2 linked regions of the Saccharomyces cerevisiae S288C genome follow. The protein of the gene in region 2 purifies or fractionates together with the protein of the main gene of each other region. This does not show direct contact. Each region holds a gene or a part of one and is shown on either strand. Other genes may lie near its edges. The genes, in order: LSM12 and PBP4.

What was found.
Region 1: the proteins of PBP4 (region 2) and LSM12 purify together in Saccharomyces cerevisiae (affinity purification with mass spectrometry; 4 studies listed by BioGRID). This does not show direct contact.

Annotation. Positions count from the first base shown.
Region 1 is NC_001140.6:351,089-353,819, reverse strand, and holds LSM12 (Lsm12p), read right to left. Parts: upstream 1,065-2,731; coding exon 501-1,064; downstream 1-500. Other genes in the region: iron-sulfur cluster assembly protein CIA2, read right to left, coding at 1-195; mismatch repair ATPase MSH1, read right to left, coding at 1,367-2,731.
Region 2 is NC_001136.10:351,122-367,884, forward strand, and holds PBP4 (Pbp4p), read right to left. Parts: upstream 11,136-16,763; coding exon 10,578-11,135; downstream 1-10,577. Other genes in the region: YDL057W (uncharacterized protein), read left to right, coding at 313-1,299; transcription factor MBP1, read left to right, coding at 1,756-4,257; PSA1 (mannose-1-phosphate guanylyltransferase), read right to left, coding at 4,553-5,638; MCH1 (Mch1p), read right to left, coding at 8,704-10,164; 1-acylglycerol-3-phosphate O-acyltransferase SLC1, read right to left, coding at 11,551-12,462; tRNA maturation protein LHP1, read left to right, coding at 12,831-13,658; KNH1 (Knh1p), read right to left, coding at 13,947-14,753; STP4 (Stp4p), read right to left, coding at 15,618-16,763.

The sequences.
Region 1 (2,731 bases), on a different chromosome or scaffold from region 2:
CTTGTCTAAGACCTCTATATCTTGCAATACCTGAGACTTTAAAGAATGGTCTATTTTCAGCAAAAGGCTTCTCCTTTCCAGCGTAGCTTCGTTGCTGAACCCGCCTAACAAAAGGTCCTTGGTACTATCTTCTTTTCTAGTGGGAAGTTGGTTCTCCTCTAAAATGTCGGGATTTTCATTCAAAAACTCAGACATGTGTACTATAAGTGATAACAGGAAATCGTAGAATAATGCAGTAGCAAGATTTTATATTCGACTGGATCTTGAAATACTCGATTTTTTTGCTTGTTAGTCATCACTTATTCGCATTTAAATCTAATTCAATTATTCAAACACCGTACACCCAAGCATTGCGACTGAGAAGAGAGTGGTGGAATATTATAGTTTGATAAATAGAAAAATCTGTAGACTCAAATGGATCTCTTTATAAACAATAGTTGACATTATAGAAGTACGGATAAAATATATAACGTATATTATCGTTTCCGTCATTAATTAATCTATCCACCTTTCCTACCATCGTCTTGTTCTAGCTGCTCCCAGCTTCTTTCCACTATTCTTTGAATTAATGTAATGGATTGGTTACTTCCCTCATGTAGCACTTTGATATCTTCGACCTTGTATGGAGGTTGCACCTTAACGTCATCAAGAATAATGATGTCTTTAGCCACCCACTTAGTATCTCCTATGGTCTTGAAGATTTGATCGAAAATGAACTGACCCTCTGCACTCACACCCTTGCCCCTTAAGAGTTCTTTCTTTTTAGATGCTATTACACTTTCTTTCAAAAGCTTCTCAACTCTTTCCACGTTGACATATGAGGGTTTGATTTGTTGCTTTTTGAATGAGTTAAACGAGGGCTTATCACCAATGACTTCCAAATGCTTGATGAATGTACATTTTATCACCTTGAAGTTTTGTGGAGATTGATTCTTCTTTGTTGTTTGGATAGTAAGAGTGTTGTTGGATGAATTGAACGAATACAATCTTCCTTCAGTAACTACATCCAACACGTTCGTAACTTTTATTCTGAATCCGAGCGTTTGCTCAAGGCTGACACTCATGGACGAAAGATGCAAATTGATTTCTTTAGTTACAAGCTTAGATAACCGCTATTTACAAGCCTGGCTCAGAGTGTTTCCTTACCGTAATAAATATCCACCATTATATTCATGGTATAAGGTTTGATCGTTTTGTTTCCGCTAATATCATTCGCGCGACAAACTACGGAAATTTGCAAACTACCGTTTTTGCCATTTTCTAAGTATCTTCACAGTCGCTTTTGAAAAAAAAGACAGGGAAATTGATTCCACATCTTATTATATTACATGTCAAATTATATACAATTAATAGTTGTATTCAAAAGTTATCCCAATATTTCGCGGGCTTCTTTTAACGCTTCCATTGGAAATCCGGCCAATTCCGCAACTCTAATGGCATCTGATTTCGTGCAGATGCCCGGCTTCAACTTATGGTTGTAACAAAAATTGTTTCCACCTAAATCAGTGATTCCGCTTTGGTAAAACTTGACCTTTTCGCTCATTCCTTTCGAACATTTGTTATCAATGATTTGCTTCAGTTCTTGACCAAAATGTGTAGCAAAAAGCGTTCTGCATTGATTGTTCTCTAACAAATACTTTAAAGTTGCATAAGCGATGCTAATGCCTTCTTTACCACTAGTCCCACGGCCAATCTCATCTAGAATAGCTAAAGACCGTTCCGTAGCTCCTTGCAAGATGAACGATGTTTCTATCATCTCAACCATGAACGTACTCATCTCATTGTACAGATCATCTGCTGAACCAACTCGGCTAAAAAGCTTATCTACAATACCCACACGCGCCTTACTGCATGGAACAAAACATCCAATTTGCGCCAGAATGACTATAATTGCATTCTGTCTTAAGAATGTAGATTTACCACCCATATTCGGTCCGGTAATTACCCATAAATTGTCCTTCGCCAATTCGCAGTTATTGGCCGTGAATGTCTCCAAAGAGCGCGCGGAAAGACCCTCTTCAACCATTAGATGTCTCCCATTCACTACTTCTAGTTTATTGCTCTCATCCACTTTTGGGCAGACTAAATTTCTCTCGTTAGCTAACACAGCAAAGGACGATAAGGTATCAAGATAGCCCAGTGTAGTTGCAACTTGTCTGACCTCGTTACTTCTATCAATAAATTTCCTTTTAAAAAGATCAATAATATTAGCCTCTTCATTCCTAATCTTTAAATTTAATAATTCCAACTCGTGCCCCAAGTCTGTCCAAATTTTGTGACTCAACCATCGTGTTTGGCTTGATTTTTGCAAAATATGGAAGCAACTTCCGTGGTACTCCGTCGATTTACTAATTAACTCATCAATTTTCTTTAAACTAGAGGCTGTTCCTGTCACATGGAGGGCATACTCACCGTTTTGCCTTTCCTTCAAGGTGAAAGTCTTAGCACCTAGGTCGCCAACAAAAAAACCTTTTAATAAAGCATTGTACTCAGTTTTTTTTTGCCAAACGCCCTGATAAGTGTCATGCAATTTCCTAAGTTTGGTATTGAACGAAGGGTTTACGATAAAATCTCTTAATTCAAAAATCTCATCTTTGTTACTTTCTTTCTTGTCTTTTACATCTATGTCAAGCATTCTAGTTACATCTGCATTCTGTTTAGCATCTTGTGACTTTGCTAGCTCTTCCTCATTTAAAAACTTCAAAATATCATCAATCAAATTTTTTTCAAA
Region 2 (16,763 bases):
GCATATATACATTTTACTGACACTAAATGTTATATTTTCTATAACATCTAACATTACTTCACGCCTTCTAATTAAAGTATAGTTTGTGCAAACAATATGTGAGCTCACGTAGACAATTGTCTAATATATCATTAATGTCCCTTGCATAGAACTTCCTTTTTTTTTCTCAGCGTCGCAATATCTCTGTCGAGAAACGCTTACGCATTATAATAAGCCAAGGAAAAATAGCGAAAAGCCGATGCAGATCTACAGGAGTGATGAAAGTACTAAAAAGATCAGAAAAGGGAATATTTGTCAAATAACCAAGTCGAAATGGAAAAAAAACATGTCACTGTGCAAATACAAAGTGCTCCCCCCTCCTATATCAAATTGGAAGCAAATGAAAAATTCGTATATATTACAAGTACAATGAACGGCTTATCTTATCAAATTGCGGCTATAGTTTCATACCCAGAAAAGAGAAATTCATCAACTGCAAATAAAGAAGATGGTAAATTACTGTGCAAGGAAAATAAACTAGCATTGTTACTACACGGAAGTCAATCTCACAAGAACGCTATTTATCAAACTTTACTAGCAAAAAGGCTGGCCGAATTCGGATATTGGGTACTAAGAATAGATTTTAGGGGCCAAGGTGATTCCTCAGATAACTGCGACCCTGGCCTTGGTAGGACGCTCGCTCAGGATCTTGAAGATTTGAGTACAGTATACCAAACAGTATCTGACAGGTCTCTTAGGGTGCAATTGTACAAAACTAGTACAATATCACTGGACGTGGTTGTGGCACATTCTAGAGGATCTCTTGCCATGTTCAAATTCTGTCTAAAATTACATGCAGCTGAATCTCCATTACCGTCTCACCTGATCAATTGCGCTGGAAGATATGATGGGAGAGGACTTATTGAACGCTGCACACGACTGCACCCGCATTGGCAAGCAGAAGGTGGGTTTTGGGCGAATGGTCCACGAAATGGCGAATACAAAGACTTTTGGATACCATTAAGTGAGACTTATAGTATCGCTGGCGTTTGCGTTCCGGAATTTGCCACGATACCACAAACTTGTTCAGTAATGTCCTGCTATGGCATGTGTGATCACATAGTGCCAATTAGCGCAGCCTCAAATTATGCAAGGCTTTTCGAGGGCAGACATTCATTGAAACTTATTGAAAATGCGGACCACAATTATTATGGCATTGAAGGTGATCCCAACGCGCTAGGCTTACCGATAAGGAGGGGTAGAGTCAACTACTCACCACTAGTAGTTGATCTAATTATGGAATACCTGCAAGATACATAGACCATACAACTACATATTAATCTAAGATAAGTCTTGTGCTGAGTTTGGTCACTTTGCGGGATCACCCGCATAAAGTCGTCGGCATTGCAGTTTAAGATCAAATAGAGGCAATACTACGCTGTGAGACGATATTTCTGATCGTGATTAAACTGGTATTCCACATGTTCAGCATCCATTAGCCGTTAGAGATAATTCATTTACGTTCCTTTTTTCTCTTGCGCTTGAGATTGTTAGATTGTTAAATTACTACTGCTTTGTTTTTCCATCCGATTAGTATAATCAACAGATGAAAAAATGAAAAAAAGAAAACAAAATCAACATAACTTGCACAAGATTGAGCCATCGGAAAATAAAGCCCATTGTAATTCATATAACTAAACATCATATCAAGTGCGATTGGTCTGCAAAATCGTGCTTAACATTCCGAGACACAACGTAAATCCCAGAAACACAAGCATGTCTAACCAAATATACTCAGCGAGATATTCGGGGGTTGATGTTTATGAATTCATTCATTCTACAGGATCTATCATGAAAAGGAAAAAGGATGATTGGGTCAATGCTACACATATTTTAAAGGCCGCCAATTTTGCCAAGGCTAAAAGAACAAGGATTCTAGAGAAGGAAGTACTTAAGGAAACTCATGAAAAAGTTCAGGGTGGATTTGGTAAATATCAGGGTACATGGGTCCCACTGAACATAGCGAAACAACTGGCAGAAAAATTTAGTGTCTACGATCAGCTGAAACCGTTGTTCGACTTTACGCAAACAGATGGGTCTGCTTCTCCACCTCCTGCTCCAAAACATCACCATGCCTCGAAGGTGGATAGGAAAAAGGCTATTAGAAGTGCAAGTACTTCCGCAATTATGGAAACAAAAAGAAACAACAAGAAAGCCGAGGAAAATCAATTTCAAAGCAGCAAAATATTGGGAAATCCCACGGCTGCACCAAGGAAAAGAGGTAGACCGGTAGGATCTACGAGGGGAAGTAGGCGGAAGTTAGGTGTCAATTTACAACGTTCTCAAAGTGATATGGGATTTCCTAGACCGGCGATACCGAATTCTTCAATATCGACAACGCAACTTCCCTCTATTAGATCCACCATGGGACCACAATCCCCTACATTGGGTATTCTGGAAGAAGAAAGGCACGATTCTCGACAGCAGCAGCCGCAACAAAATAATTCTGCACAGTTCAAAGAAATTGATCTTGAGGACGGCTTATCAAGCGATGTGGAACCTTCACAACAATTACAACAAGTTTTTAATCAAAATACTGGATTTGTACCCCAACAACAATCTTCCTTGATACAGACACAGCAAACAGAATCAATGGCCACGTCCGTATCTTCCTCTCCTTCATTACCTACGTCACCGGGCGATTTTGCCGATAGTAATCCATTTGAAGAGCGATTTCCCGGTGGTGGAACATCTCCTATTATTTCCATGATCCCGCGTTATCCTGTAACTTCAAGGCCTCAAACATCGGATATTAATGATAAAGTTAACAAATACCTTTCAAAATTGGTTGATTATTTTATTTCCAATGAAATGAAGTCAAATAAGTCCCTACCACAAGTGTTATTGCACCCACCTCCACACAGCGCTCCCTATATAGATGCTCCAATCGATCCAGAATTACATACTGCCTTCCATTGGGCTTGTTCTATGGGTAATTTACCAATTGCTGAGGCGTTGTACGAAGCCGGAACAAGTATCAGATCGACAAATTCTCAAGGCCAAACTCCATTGATGAGAAGTTCCTTATTCCACAATTCATACACTAGAAGAACTTTCCCTAGAATTTTCCAGCTACTGCACGAGACCGTATTTGATATCGATTCGCAATCACAAACAGTAATTCACCATATTGTGAAACGAAAATCAACAACACCTTCTGCAGTTTATTATCTTGATGTTGTGCTATCTAAGATCAAGGATTTTTCCCCACAGTATAGAATTGAATTACTTTTAAACACACAAGACAAAAATGGCGATACCGCACTTCATATTGCTTCTAAAAATGGAGATGTTGTTTTTTTTAATACACTGGTCAAAATGGGTGCATTAACTACTATTTCCAATAAGGAAGGATTAACCGCCAATGAAATAATGAATCAACAATATGAGCAAATGATGATACAAAATGGTACAAATCAACATGTCAATTCTTCAAACACGGACTTGAATATCCACGTTAATACAAACAACATTGAAACGAAAAATGATGTTAATTCAATGGTAATCATGTCGCCTGTTTCTCCTTCGGATTACATAACCTATCCATCTCAAATTGCCACCAATATATCAAGAAATATTCCAAATGTAGTGAATTCTATGAAGCAAATGGCTAGCATATACAACGATCTTCATGAACAGCATGACAACGAAATAAAAAGTTTGCAAAAAACTTTAAAAAGCATTTCTAAGACGAAAATACAGGTAAGCCTAAAAACTTTAGAGGTATTGAAAGAGAGCAGTAAAGATGAAAACGGCGAAGCTCAGACTAATGATGACTTCGAAATTTTATCTCGTCTACAAGAACAAAATACTAAGAAATTGAGAAAAAGGCTCATACGATACAAACGGTTGATAAAACAAAAGCTGGAATACAGGCAAACGGTTTTATTGAACAAATTAATAGAAGATGAAACTCAGGCTACCACCAATAACACAGTTGAGAAAGATAATAATACGCTGGAAAGGTTGGAATTGGCTCAAGAACTAACGATGTTGCAATTACAAAGGAAAAACAAATTGAGTTCCTTGGTGAAGAAATTTGAAGACAATGCCAAGATTCATAAATATAGACGGATTATCAGGGAAGGTACGGAAATGAATATTGAAGAAGTAGATAGTTCGCTGGATGTAATACTACAGACATTGATAGCCAACAATAATAAAAATAAGGGCGCAGAACAGATCATCACAATCTCAAACGCGAATAGTCATGCATAAAATATACATAAATAGAGGAACTTTACATGTATCCATATACTGAAAAATAGATAAAACAATGAGATAATATTTATTAACTTCTACGTAAATAAAAAGTTACATAAGGATCAACCTTTTTTTCTTTATTTTCTTTTTTTTTTTTATTTTTCATTTTCAATTACAAACTAAGACATAACAGTAAGCAGTGCTTTTTCTGTGCATGTTTTCCTCTTTTTATAATGATATTGGCTAAAATAAAATTAACAAAAACAGATGAGTGATATAGATTATATTCATTACAGTTCGTTTTCCTAACTCACATAATAATAGCTTCCTTTGGAACATTATCGGAGATAGACTTATGAGGTAAGACTTTACCACCGTTGATGTAGATTTCGTCCTTAACTTCAACGTCGTCACCCAAGACAGTGACACCTTCCAAACGACACCATTGACCAACGGTAGAGTTCCAGCCTACGATGGTAGATTTGACCAAGGAGTGGTTCTTGATGGTGGAGTTGCACAAAACAACAGATCTGGTGATTCTAACACCATCACCGATGGTGACATTAGGACCGATAACCACGTCTGGGCCAATCTTAGCAGTGGAGGAAATCTTAGCGGTTGGGTCGATCAAGGCATTACCAACAATGTTGGCACCTGTAGCCAATTTTTTTGGTTGTCTCTTGGCCAAAGAGTTCAAGTAAAGAACGGTACCAGACAAGAAGTCCTTTGGTTGACCAACATCCATCCAGAAACCTTCCAAATCGAAGGAATATAGTTGTTTTTCTTCGACCAAGATTGGGAAAGTTTCCTTTTCAATTGAAGTTGGCTTCATTTCAATCAAGTCAATGACTTCTGGGTTTAAAATGTACAAACCGGCGTTAATTCTGTTACCAACAAATTCCTTTGGCTTTTCAACAAATCTGTCAATCAAGTTTGGAGTAGCTATATCATGGACAATGACACCGTATTTAGAAGGTTCGTCGACCTTGGTAGCAACAATGGTACCTTTACCACCGTGAGCTTTGTGGAAGTCAGCCAATTCCTTGAATGGATATTCGCAAATGACGTCGGAGTTTAGGACGAAAAATGGAGAGTTGTCCTTCTTCAAAACATCTTCAGCCAATTTCAATGGACCTGCAGTACCTAATGGTTCAGTTTCTACAGAGAAAGTGATGTTAACACCATATTCCTTTTCGTACTTCTTCAAAGTTTCCACCATGACTTCTGGTCTGTAATTAACAGCAAGAACGATGTCAGTAACACCAGCGTTGGCTAAAGCCTCGATTTGGTGTAAAATCATTGGTCTATTACCGAATTCAACCAGTGGCTTTGGAACGGTCAAAGTTAAAGGTCTCAATCTGGTACCGTAACCACCGACTAAAATTAAACCTTTCATTTTTCAATTATATATGTTTTATTTGTTGAAGTTGTAGCTTGTCTTGTGCTGATAATATTTTGTTTGTATAGTCAACAAAATATTTGGACAGAAGAAAAGAGTTAGCGAATGTAAAGTAGTTTGCACACTTGATGAACGTTATCAAAGTCAAAGAGGTGAGAACAAGATAGACAAAGAAAAAAAAAATACAGTTTTGGAGAAAAGAAAACAAGACTATGTGAAACTTCTAACAATGACGTGAAAAGTCTACTATATATATGTTTACAAGAGCGCCACGAGGCAAGGAAAAAAAGAAAACAAAGCGAGAAACCACCAGCTTACTTTACTACCGGTCAGCTGTGGTTCTGTGTCTGTTCGTCTGTTTGTTTGTTTGTTTGTTTATTGCTGCGCTGTTCATGCTGAAAAACGACAAAAACAAAGAAAAAAAAGTTTTTCAGAGATTGAGATAAAAATAAACGTGGTGGCTCCCGAGGCATTTCTAGCTGGCCAGCAAGTACACGGTGGCCGTTTCTTTTGGCGTTTTTTTTTTCTGTTTTCGCGTTCTTCATGCTGTGCGTTGCTGGTGAGGTGGCGTGGACGGTTTGGTTTAGGCAATGATAGAAAAAGCTATAGTCAGAGTTGCAGGAAAGGACGAAAGTAGTCCATTTGGTGCCGTTATCCAAGGGTCTTGCTCTTAGTCTTGCTTTTCACCCAGCACGCGGTAAGAAGGATCGGGTGCAGCATGAAGAATGCTGACTGTACGCGTTTCGATTTGAAGCTTTAGGATGTTCTGTGGGTTGGGTTGGCTCGATCGACAGTGCGTATAGTGACCTTTGAACTGTACCGGGTGGCACGTCGTGCACAGAATCAGAAGTAGTTATAAAAGATTTGTAATTGCGTATATGCAACCAAGTTTAGGCTTTCTCCGTGCCGTTTTTTAAGGTGAAATGTACTCCTCTTGAAAATGTAAAAAAATGGAGCCTCGCAGAGCAGCTTGCCAAGCAGGTTGATACAAGGTGAGCCGCCGAAACATAACGATAAACGTGGTATAGTTTTCGATTGCCTTTAGTTTGGGTGGTCTCAGTGCTGGCACCTGACGAACTATTCGTAGGCAGGAGAACTTGCATCATGTGGTGTTCTTCCGAGATAGGGATGCCGTTTGGTCCTTACGAAAGTCAATGTTCTGGTACTACTAATTATTAACATAGTTCGTTGTATACACACTCTTTACTTTCATAAGAAATAAAAAGCACGTCTAAGAAATCTCTACGTCTTGGCTGCGGCAAGCAACTGCATAGAAAGCACATAGTAGTAACTCTAAAATGCGAGCTTCATACAGACAATTACATAAATGCAACATAGGCAGCATGGGATCCTGGGTTTCATATCGTCAAAGAAAGCCACCAACTGGCTTTACCATAAAAATACGAAAAGAAGTGCACACATTCTTCTTTTTGGCTCATCACAAGTTCTTCAATTTACTGTCATTACTTTTGTTTCCTTGTCAGATAATGTATGGGTGGTGTGTACACCAAGGTATTTTTTTTTTTACTTGGCAGATCTGCAATGCATAATAGAATGGTAAGGGAACGAGTAACAGACGGGAAGCGAATGCGAACACAAAGAATATAAATTTGAAATCTCCTGTTGCAAAGGATTCTCTAGACATTTACTATCTCAGTGACAATTCTCGAGTGAAACAAGAAATTGAGATGGTAGGTCAGCGCCCATACTTCTTGAATCAATTGGAGGAGCGGATAAAGCAAGTTTCCCCCCTCAATGTAAATCATCTTAAGCAAAATTTTAAAATCTAGGCACATATAAAGAGAAAATGGGAATGATTTTGCTGGATAGGCTACAGTGTTAGGAATGCAGAATTAGGAACTATAGATGATGCGATTAAAGATATTAAACGAGAAGTGACAGTGGTGGCTTCGACAACGGCAGTCGTGCTCGGTCGACAACGTGTATGTTTTTGCCGAGCAGAGCAGGGAAAGTCCTTCTTTCTGCGCGTGAATCAAAACACATTGGTATCGAATTTAACATATCTGGGTGAGGAATGGACAATCCTAATAAAGTACTGGAGGTTTGTCTGTATTTCCAAGTTCTTGCTTGTAGAAACTGCTTTCTTTTCTCTTTTCCTGCAGCGGTCGAACATATGTGATTATTGATTAGCCATTTGTTCCAAGTCATATAGTAGTATTACGTGTTCAGATGCGGTGTTAGCGTATCTTTTTGTTAAATAAAATATCATTGTGCCGTTGCCGCCCTACCTGCCAAGGGTCAAAGAAGGCACCTTTATACGATGCCACCTTTTTATAGTATTCTACTACAGAGTCATCGTTCACCAGTTACTGTTCATTCTACTAAATTAGTATGGCGTGTTGCATAGAAGGAAGCATGAATTACAAGATCAGTAGAACAAAAAGTTCAACTGTTTGGAATTTAGTTGAACATGTGACGAAAGCTCTGCTACTAAGACAGGGGCAAAAAATAACAATATGTAAGCATAAGAAATGGGTCAATGTTGGGATACTTGGTGAATTCCGTTCTTTTTAGAAGCGGATTTTCTTATTCGTTTATATGTTGCCATTCATTACCCTATCATATTATGAATCTTCACATTTTATTTTCCATAAGATCTGATGACTGTTTCCCAATCACCTTACATCATATATGATAATGTACAATTGATATGAAGAATAGCAGTCGATGGATGATATTTTATTCTTATTATCAACATGTACAAAGTGTTGGAACGGTAAAGACCAGTGCAAATCTGATAAAACTTTAAAATAACATGGACAAATTTATGTCCAGGATTCTCCGAAGAACTCATCCTTGTTAGCTCAGTTGGTAGAGCGTTCGGCTTTTAAGCGCATTTGCTTAAGCAAGGATACCGAAATGTCAGGGGTTCGAGCCCCCTATGAGGAGTTCTTTCTTTTTTTCTCTCAATTTTTAACCGGTACCTTTAAAAGGGTATCAAAAACAATAGCATAGCATAAAAGAAATAAGTGCAATTTATTGGTGTCATTTATATAAGCTATGAATTTTAAAAAAAATAAATGTAGCAGTTTCTTTTTTGTTTAAATTCTGAGTTTTCTACTTTTTAATTTCCAAAATACTACAGCTGAAAGAACAGCGGATACAACGAATGCGATACTGCTGTACTTGTAGACAGCCGAAATACAGGACGGATTTCGCAGATCTCCTCCGCCACTCATACAGCGAGAATCGTAAAATTTGGCATACAACATGCAAAATATCATAGAACCTATAGCAGGTGCAATTAGTAAGCTACCGTAAACAGTCCCGAATGAGCGTTCGCCCCATACTAACAGGACCAGCGTCGGATAAACAGTGAAAAGTCCACCGTATACAATTCCAACCAATGATCCTGTAGGTACTAGCCCCCAGGGTGACGCTGAAGAGGTCATTTTCAATAAAAACAGTTGTGCACATACCCCTAATGAAAGGAAAGTCAACAGGATCCATTTAATTGATATTTTTTTCTTGGCGAAGAAGTCTGCCACTATGCCTGTGAGCAATCTCGTAAAAGTGGAAGATAGCGCGTATGTGGATAACAACTTTGTAGATAAGGTTGGCGCATCTAATTGGACTAGCAGGTTAGTCAGTGATCCCATATTGGCAATAAACATCTCGAGGGGCCCAAGTGATAACAAAATTGATACCGCTAGGATATATGTCACAGGATCACTAAAGATCCTTAGCATCGTCTGCGTAAACTTTTCTTGAACATGATTACTTCGTTCTAACAGCGGTGATTGTTCCACATCAGTTTGATCATCCAGCCGTTTTTGGTTGTCTTGCTCTTCATTAAAATGCAAAAGTGATACCACGCTGGTGGCTATCCATGCAAGTAGCCCAATAACGACATAAACGAGGGCAAATGTTTGGAATACTCTTCCCAGGTTTAAGTCACTATTGGACGAGGAAGAACTTGCGTTAGAGGACCAGAACCATTTGATTCTTAGCAGTTGAGAACCGACTACAGAAGAAATACCATAACATGTCGTTGGTAAGCTAATGGATAGTAGTTTTGTATGAGGATATAGCTTAGTGCATGTCAGTAAAGCGCTAAAGTATAAAGCGCTTGTTGATATACCTATGAAAACGAAACAAATGATGGATAGATTGAATGATGAGTCACCATTTCCTCCGAGAGATAACTCCGGATGATTAAAAACGTAAGCCAGATATGAATAGCTAGGTATGAACCCTATGATGGCTAAAAGACTTAAAGTAATGGGGCCATGAGAATCAGCGATCATCCCCAAGATTGGTGGCGTCAAGTACATCCCCAAATTAGTCATACTAGCGATGGTGTTGATTTGCCATGAGGAATAATTTAAATGTTTCTGCCACGGTTGAGAGTAAAGAGATATCAAAGTAATGAAGCCAGTTGACACCGCAGATAATAGCGAAAAGATGTATGCAACACGATGTGATGACTGAAGAGACAAAACATGGGGTAAGAGTAAGCGCGTATGGTATGAAAGGTAGTGCTCCACCTTTGATAGAGGCATGATTTGCACTTGGAAAATGGTTATTGCTATAAAATGATATGAAAGGAAACTAGTCTCGATGAAACGTTAGAAGTTGCTGTCTGAGTAGCGGTCTCTGTTATCTTGTATTTACACTGTATAATAGTTTTTCTTGTAGGGCAAAAAGAAAGGTACTAATTTCCGAACGATGCGAAAAGCCGCTAGCATCGGAAAGGCTAAGTGAACTATGCAATAAAGACTAAGAGAAAAAGCAAAGAAAGGCGTCTTAACACAGTATACATTTTTCGACATTATGAATTATAAAATTTTTATTTACGCTTGTAAAATAATATTTTCATTTCTTCTATTTTCCTCTTTTCTTCGTTTTCTTGACTTCATACTTCATTTTTTGTTTGACTCCTTTTTGCGTTATGAAACGTGATGCTTCGATATTCTCATTGGTTTCTTAAAACTTTAGCAATATCGGACAAACAGCCGTATTTTTTATTCTTATTTTTACTGCTTGATACAGTACCCCAGTCAGTGGCTGTTGAAACTCTGCCACTTGCCGTTTCTGATAGTACTTGCTTATAAGTTTTCATTGAATGACTTTTTTCACCAGCGGTATAGCTCTGAAATAATTTGTGCATATACGATCTAACTTCTTCTCTATTGTAAGGTTGTTTATTCGCTCTTTTAAATTTCTTATTTGTGGATGATCCATTGGCGGTGGAACTACCCTTTATATTAGCAGGCGGCGCGGTAGATGCGATGGTTTTAGTCTTCGTATTAGCAGGTTGTACAGCCACGGAATCATCTTTTCGTGCCTGCTGTTGCTGTTGCTGTTGCCTTGGAAGGGCTTTGGCAGCTGCCTGCGCCCAACCTGTTAATTTTGGCTTCTGAGGAAGCACAGCGGGCGTTGGACCATTTGAATTTGGACCTGAAGCAGATAAAGTAGCCTTCAAAGTCGAGGAGGTTCTGCCATCTACACTGGTTGTTGAGGTTGTTGTCATTTCGTACTAGATTAAAGGGAAAATTGTATCGTAAATAAGTAATAAAGTTAATGAAAATTCGGAAACAAAAATGGATAGATATTAAACAGTGAACAAATGAAAAATTTCAGAAAAAAAGAATTAAAAAAAAAAAGGGAAAAAATATGCACAAGATCGTATTATTTGTTGTTCCTCGTATTTTTCTTTCTATTTAGTCTCACATTTTTGACACATGCCTGGTGTTATATATACATTACAATGGAAAGTTCTTTTCTCTTTCTCCGAATAAAGTAGCGGTCTATTGATCACTTCTTACGCTGGGTATATGAGTCGTAATAAATAAAATCATCAGAATCATTCGTAAGTCATTTTACTTTTTTAAAAAGATAATTACAGTTTTTGGGTCTATATACTACTCTAAAAATGTGGTGGTGGCTTAATGCATCTTTTTTACAGATGAACCTTCGTTATGGGTATTGACATCGTTGCTAATGCTGACAGAAGGCACAGGCTCATTCTTGATTTTCTTGTTCACTTTCTTGTCATGTTGAAGAGCGGCATACTCAATAGCTTGTGGTGGGAGGGTTGTATCGTTGATGGCGGGAGAGTAGCCAATCTCCTTCAAAGTGTCAACCATTTGATCTCTAACTTTTTCAGCAAATTCACCAATTTTGTCCTTTGTTAAGTTCTCGGTTGAAATAGGTTTTAAAATTCTAACAATCATACAGCCTCTGTTGAAGACCCCATATTTAGGACTTACTAAAGTACTGGTATTGGAAACAACCACTGGAACAATGGGGATCTTACCCTGTTGTGCCAAATGGAAAGCACCCTTCTTGAAAGGCAACATTGTCAGCTCACTCGTGTAAGACCTGGTACCCTCAGGAAAAACCCATAGAGCACGCTTGTTTTTCTTAACATTTTCTAAACCTTTATTCAAGGTGTCAATGGCTTCTTGCCTTTTAGATCTGTCTAAGAAATATGTACCACTCAAAGCCATGAACCAACCCAGAAAGGGGACGTATTTCAAAGACTTCTTGGCAGTAACTGTGCAACCAGGGGGGAAAATCCTACCTAACATGAAGATATCCAAGGTGGATTGGTGATTGGCAATCATAATATATGGCTTCTTGGCCAAATTCTCCTCGCCAACGACCTTGACGTCAAGGCCAAGCATCAATTTCATGACATGGTAAAAACAACGCGCAGTAATCCACTGAGCCAAATGTTGCTTACCGATTAACGTGCAAAGGATAGAGGCGATTACACCGTAAAAGCCACAGCCTGCAAGCGCCAGTACGACCAACACGGACCTCAAGTAATACAAGAACCTACCTATCACACTCATTATTTTTTTGCTCGAATTCACTGACGGAGGGAAACCACTAAACTTCTCTATTGAAGAATTCCCCCTTCACCTTAAACCCTTCCTAATATAAGTATTTTGAACACCATACCATATTCTCAACAAAACAAAGGAAGCATAATTGATATCATCATTCACGAGATCCATCTCGTGACCGTGAAAAAATTTTCGTCTTCGTCTTAGTGTAATGTGTTCAGCCCAACCTCATCGCAATATCTCAAGATTTTTGAATTACAACCAAATCAAAAGCACAGAGTCGCATCTCATCGCTATGATGTATTTTTTTCTTTTTCCAAAAAATGGGTTCTATTTGGTTCTACTGGAACTAAAGTAGCATCTGCAAAGAAGTAATGTCTGAAAAACCACAACAAGAGGAGCAAGAGAAACCACAATCAAGACGTAATTCATTTGCTGTGATTGAATTTACTCCAGAAGTCTTGGACAGATGTTTAAAGCAAGTGGAATTCTACTTTTCTGAATTCAACTTTCCATATGACAGGTTCTTGCGCACAACAGCGGAAAAAAACGATGGATGGGTCCCCATCAGCACCATCGCCACATTCAACCGTATGAAGAAATATAGACCAGTGGATAAGGTTATCGAAGCACTACGTAGTTCTGAAATTTTGGAAGTATCTGCTGATGGAGAGAACGTCAAGAGACGTGTTCCTTTGGACCTAACTGCTGCCAGAAATGCCAGAATTGAGCAAAACCAACGGACTTTGGCTGTAATGAATTTCCCACATGAGGACGTTGAAGCTTCCCAAATTCCTGAATTGCAGGAGAACTTGGAAGCCTTTTTCAAAAAATTAGGTGAAATCAACCAAGTGCGTTTGAGAAGAGATCACAGAAACAAGAAATTTAATGGTACGGTCTTGGTGGAATTTAAGACAATTCCAGAATGTGAAGCTTTTTTGAAATCGTATTCCAATGACGATGAGTCCAACGAAATTTTGTCATATGAAGGTAAGAAACTGAGTGTTTTGACGAAAAAACAGTTTGATTTACAGAGAGAGGCCTCGAAGTCCAAAAACTTCAGCGGTAGATCAAGATCCTTTAACGGCCATAAGAAGAAAAACTTGCCTAAATTCCCCAAAAATAAGAAGAAAAACGGCAAGGAAGAGTCAAAAGAGGACTCTTCTGCCATTGCCGATGACGATGAGGAGCACAAGGAGTGATTCTTGTGTTTCTTCTGGTTCTCGTATCTCATTATCATAGCATATTAAGAATATATGTACTAACATATGTACTAAACAGAAACACAATATGAATTACAACTAATACTATATTATTTGTCTCCTTTTTTTATTAGTATTAAAAATTACCGTTACTGGTTAAAATGGAATACAGCTCATCCATTTAAAAAAAAAAAAAAATAGAATAACAATAATTAAGCAGAAAAAATGTTAACGAATATAATAAATCGATTTGTCCATTTTCATAAATTTTTTTTTTGTATTATTTCATTATCTGTGCCTCAAAGCATTAACTTTTCTTGCAGTCAGAGAGAGTCTCTTGCGTGGATTATACCAACCGCCATTATCAGCCGGCATAGGGGCCGGCGTAGCATAGTTACTATCAGCTGTAATTATGTATGACCACCCTGGTGTTACGGTAGTATGTTGATCAACGGAGTTTCTTAAAGTGTAGTAATACGTTACCTCACTGGTCGCGTACTTCCTTTTCCATGTCTTTGCTGTTACCTTAGTAGCCGGTTGGAGTTGCATGGGAGCATATTTCACAACACCTGTTTGTAAGTTGTAGGGAACGGTGAAACTCTTAGAATCAATCGTGGCACCCACATCTCCTGTGGTAATTCTTGTTTGTGCCTCTGGTGCAATGGTTATCATACTCGGATTAGCGGCTTTTGTACCAATCATCCCTTTTAGTTTAAATCTGTTAGTGTAATGAATGGTGTAACCGATAGCTGTTTGCGCAAAGACTTGTATGAAGTAAACACCGTCCGTCCCAACGGTGTTTTCTATTATCGCATTGAACTCGTTGTCTGTCAGATCACTCGCACTGAGTGTTTGAAGAGTAGCCATTGCTTCTATCATGGCATTGGTACCCGAACACAGAGTAAACGTGTATCTGACAAAATCCTTTTCCTGTGGTGTGTTATCTGTATGCATCCACTTTACTTTGACAACAGCCTGACTTGTACCAGATAAATCATAAACTGAGTTGGGTTCTGGAGCCACAATGGCCACATCACAATAAGCTGTTCGGAACACTACCGAACAAAATAATGTTAAGAATAATACTATCAGCATACGTTTTACGTAATTGATTTTTTATTATTGTTACCTACCTAAGAAGTCGACGTAATACTTGTATACTTTACTTTTTACTTCTGTGCAACTTTCATCGATACGTTTTTATAAATTTACGTAACTAACTACCTCATGTAATATTATACATGAACGAGCACATAATGTCCAATGTCCCTTACATGTTCGTACTTTCAAAAAAGAAAGAAGAAAATTGGTGAAGAGGAAATGTGCTTTTCTGTTGGAGTTGGTCAACAATATGATGAGGAAGAAGGGAAAGCCGCAAAGACTGGATTTACGCAATGGACTACATTCTCATGTGAAAAAAAGAAGTGCTGCTTCGAAGGTTCGCGACCCTTTCAAGGGACTCGCCGCGATGCAGAGAAAAAAAAAAGAAGAGATAACGTGGGGGCAGCTAAAAAAAGACGAATCGATAATGAGTCCATGACTTGAGCCGGACGGACTTATAATTCGATTCGGGCCTAGGCTTGTACAGCTGAAATAGTGTACAATATAAGGAACTAAACGATCGGAGACCAATCGGAGAGCCGGCAGTTGAATCAGGTGCTTCATCACTGGCATAACCTATCCGCAAACGGCTGATGCAGGTCTCAACGCCCTTCTGGTAAAATCAAAAAAAGTAAAAAAAACGGCTCATGCCAGCTTGCTTCCTGTCAATAGCGGTTGTTGATTTTTTCGCTTCATGCCTAAAAAGAGAAACGAGACACAGAGAGAAAACAAGAATCTAGATTAATAACGTAGGGCAGCGTAACAATAATTTACGCAGAAATGATGTGTATTATTAGGGCATAAATAAATAAATGTATGTATGTGTGTGTATGTATGAGTCGGTGAATGACTTTGGTTTTAGTGATATGAGTAGCCACATCCTTTCCCCACGTGCTTATTTAGCCAGACGTCAACGTTCGGAAATTGCAGTCCACAATGCTTGCACTTCCCCGGCACAACACCTCTATCTTCTTTCTTGGTCTTGGGCGGGTACTCGAAATGCAAAGCCTTTAGGTGATTCTTGAAAGTATCACAGCGCGAAAAAACGCCCGTTTGATGACAGTTTATTGGCTCGAAATAGAGTGATCTAGACTTGTGTGGATACACCTCCATATCCAAATTGATCAGAGTAGAGTTGTAAGGACACTTGAATGCACCTTTAATCTTGTATAGTGATTTCAATTGGTTTTTCTTCAGTAGTTTTGTTTCTTCGGAAGAGGATGAGGCAGCGAGTTTATCGTTTGAGTCGTCGCTGTCGTTGTTTGCGGAGGTGCGGGCAGTGTCATCTTGATCGTCAGCACCACTATTGTTGTCGGACTCCCTTGCGTATATTTGCATAAATTCATCTTTCCAATGGCGCTTCTTGTGCCTTATCAGATCATTGTTCCTGGCAAAGCCGCGTTGACAGATAGGGCACTTATGCGGTCTGTCCTCCGGAGTTAAATGAGTGGATTTATGCGTAGATAGGTTGGCGTAGAAGTTGTGGCAGATGGGGCATTCCTTTTTCTTTCTTTGCTTCGTTATCTTGGCGGAATCCTTTAAAGACGATGAATACCTGCTTGTATGTTCATTAGTCAATGGGGAATGAATAGACGGTAGTGCAGAGGCACTACTACTACTGTTGAGTTGCTGTTGCTGTTGTTGTTTGACGATCAAAGGTGGGAATCCACTAACGGGTAGGCTGGACACGGATTTTGATCTCGGTACGTTATCTACCGCGGTTGGCAATATACTCTGGTGTTGAGTTGGTGGTGAGGGGGTGATGGTTTTGAAACCCGTTGTGTTGTTAGGGTTGCAAAATGTTAGCTCATGTCTGTGATGATCTAGCACTGTTCTTGGCACCGGTGATGTAAAATTGGCATGCAAGGAATTTGATCTGCCGTTAAATTCTCTTTCTGCAACTGTAATTAAATTGGTGAAGGAGGATATGGGTGGCAAAATGACATGGCTTGAGCTGTTGGATGACAGCGGTGTTGGAGAAAGGCTATGAGGGAAATAGCATTT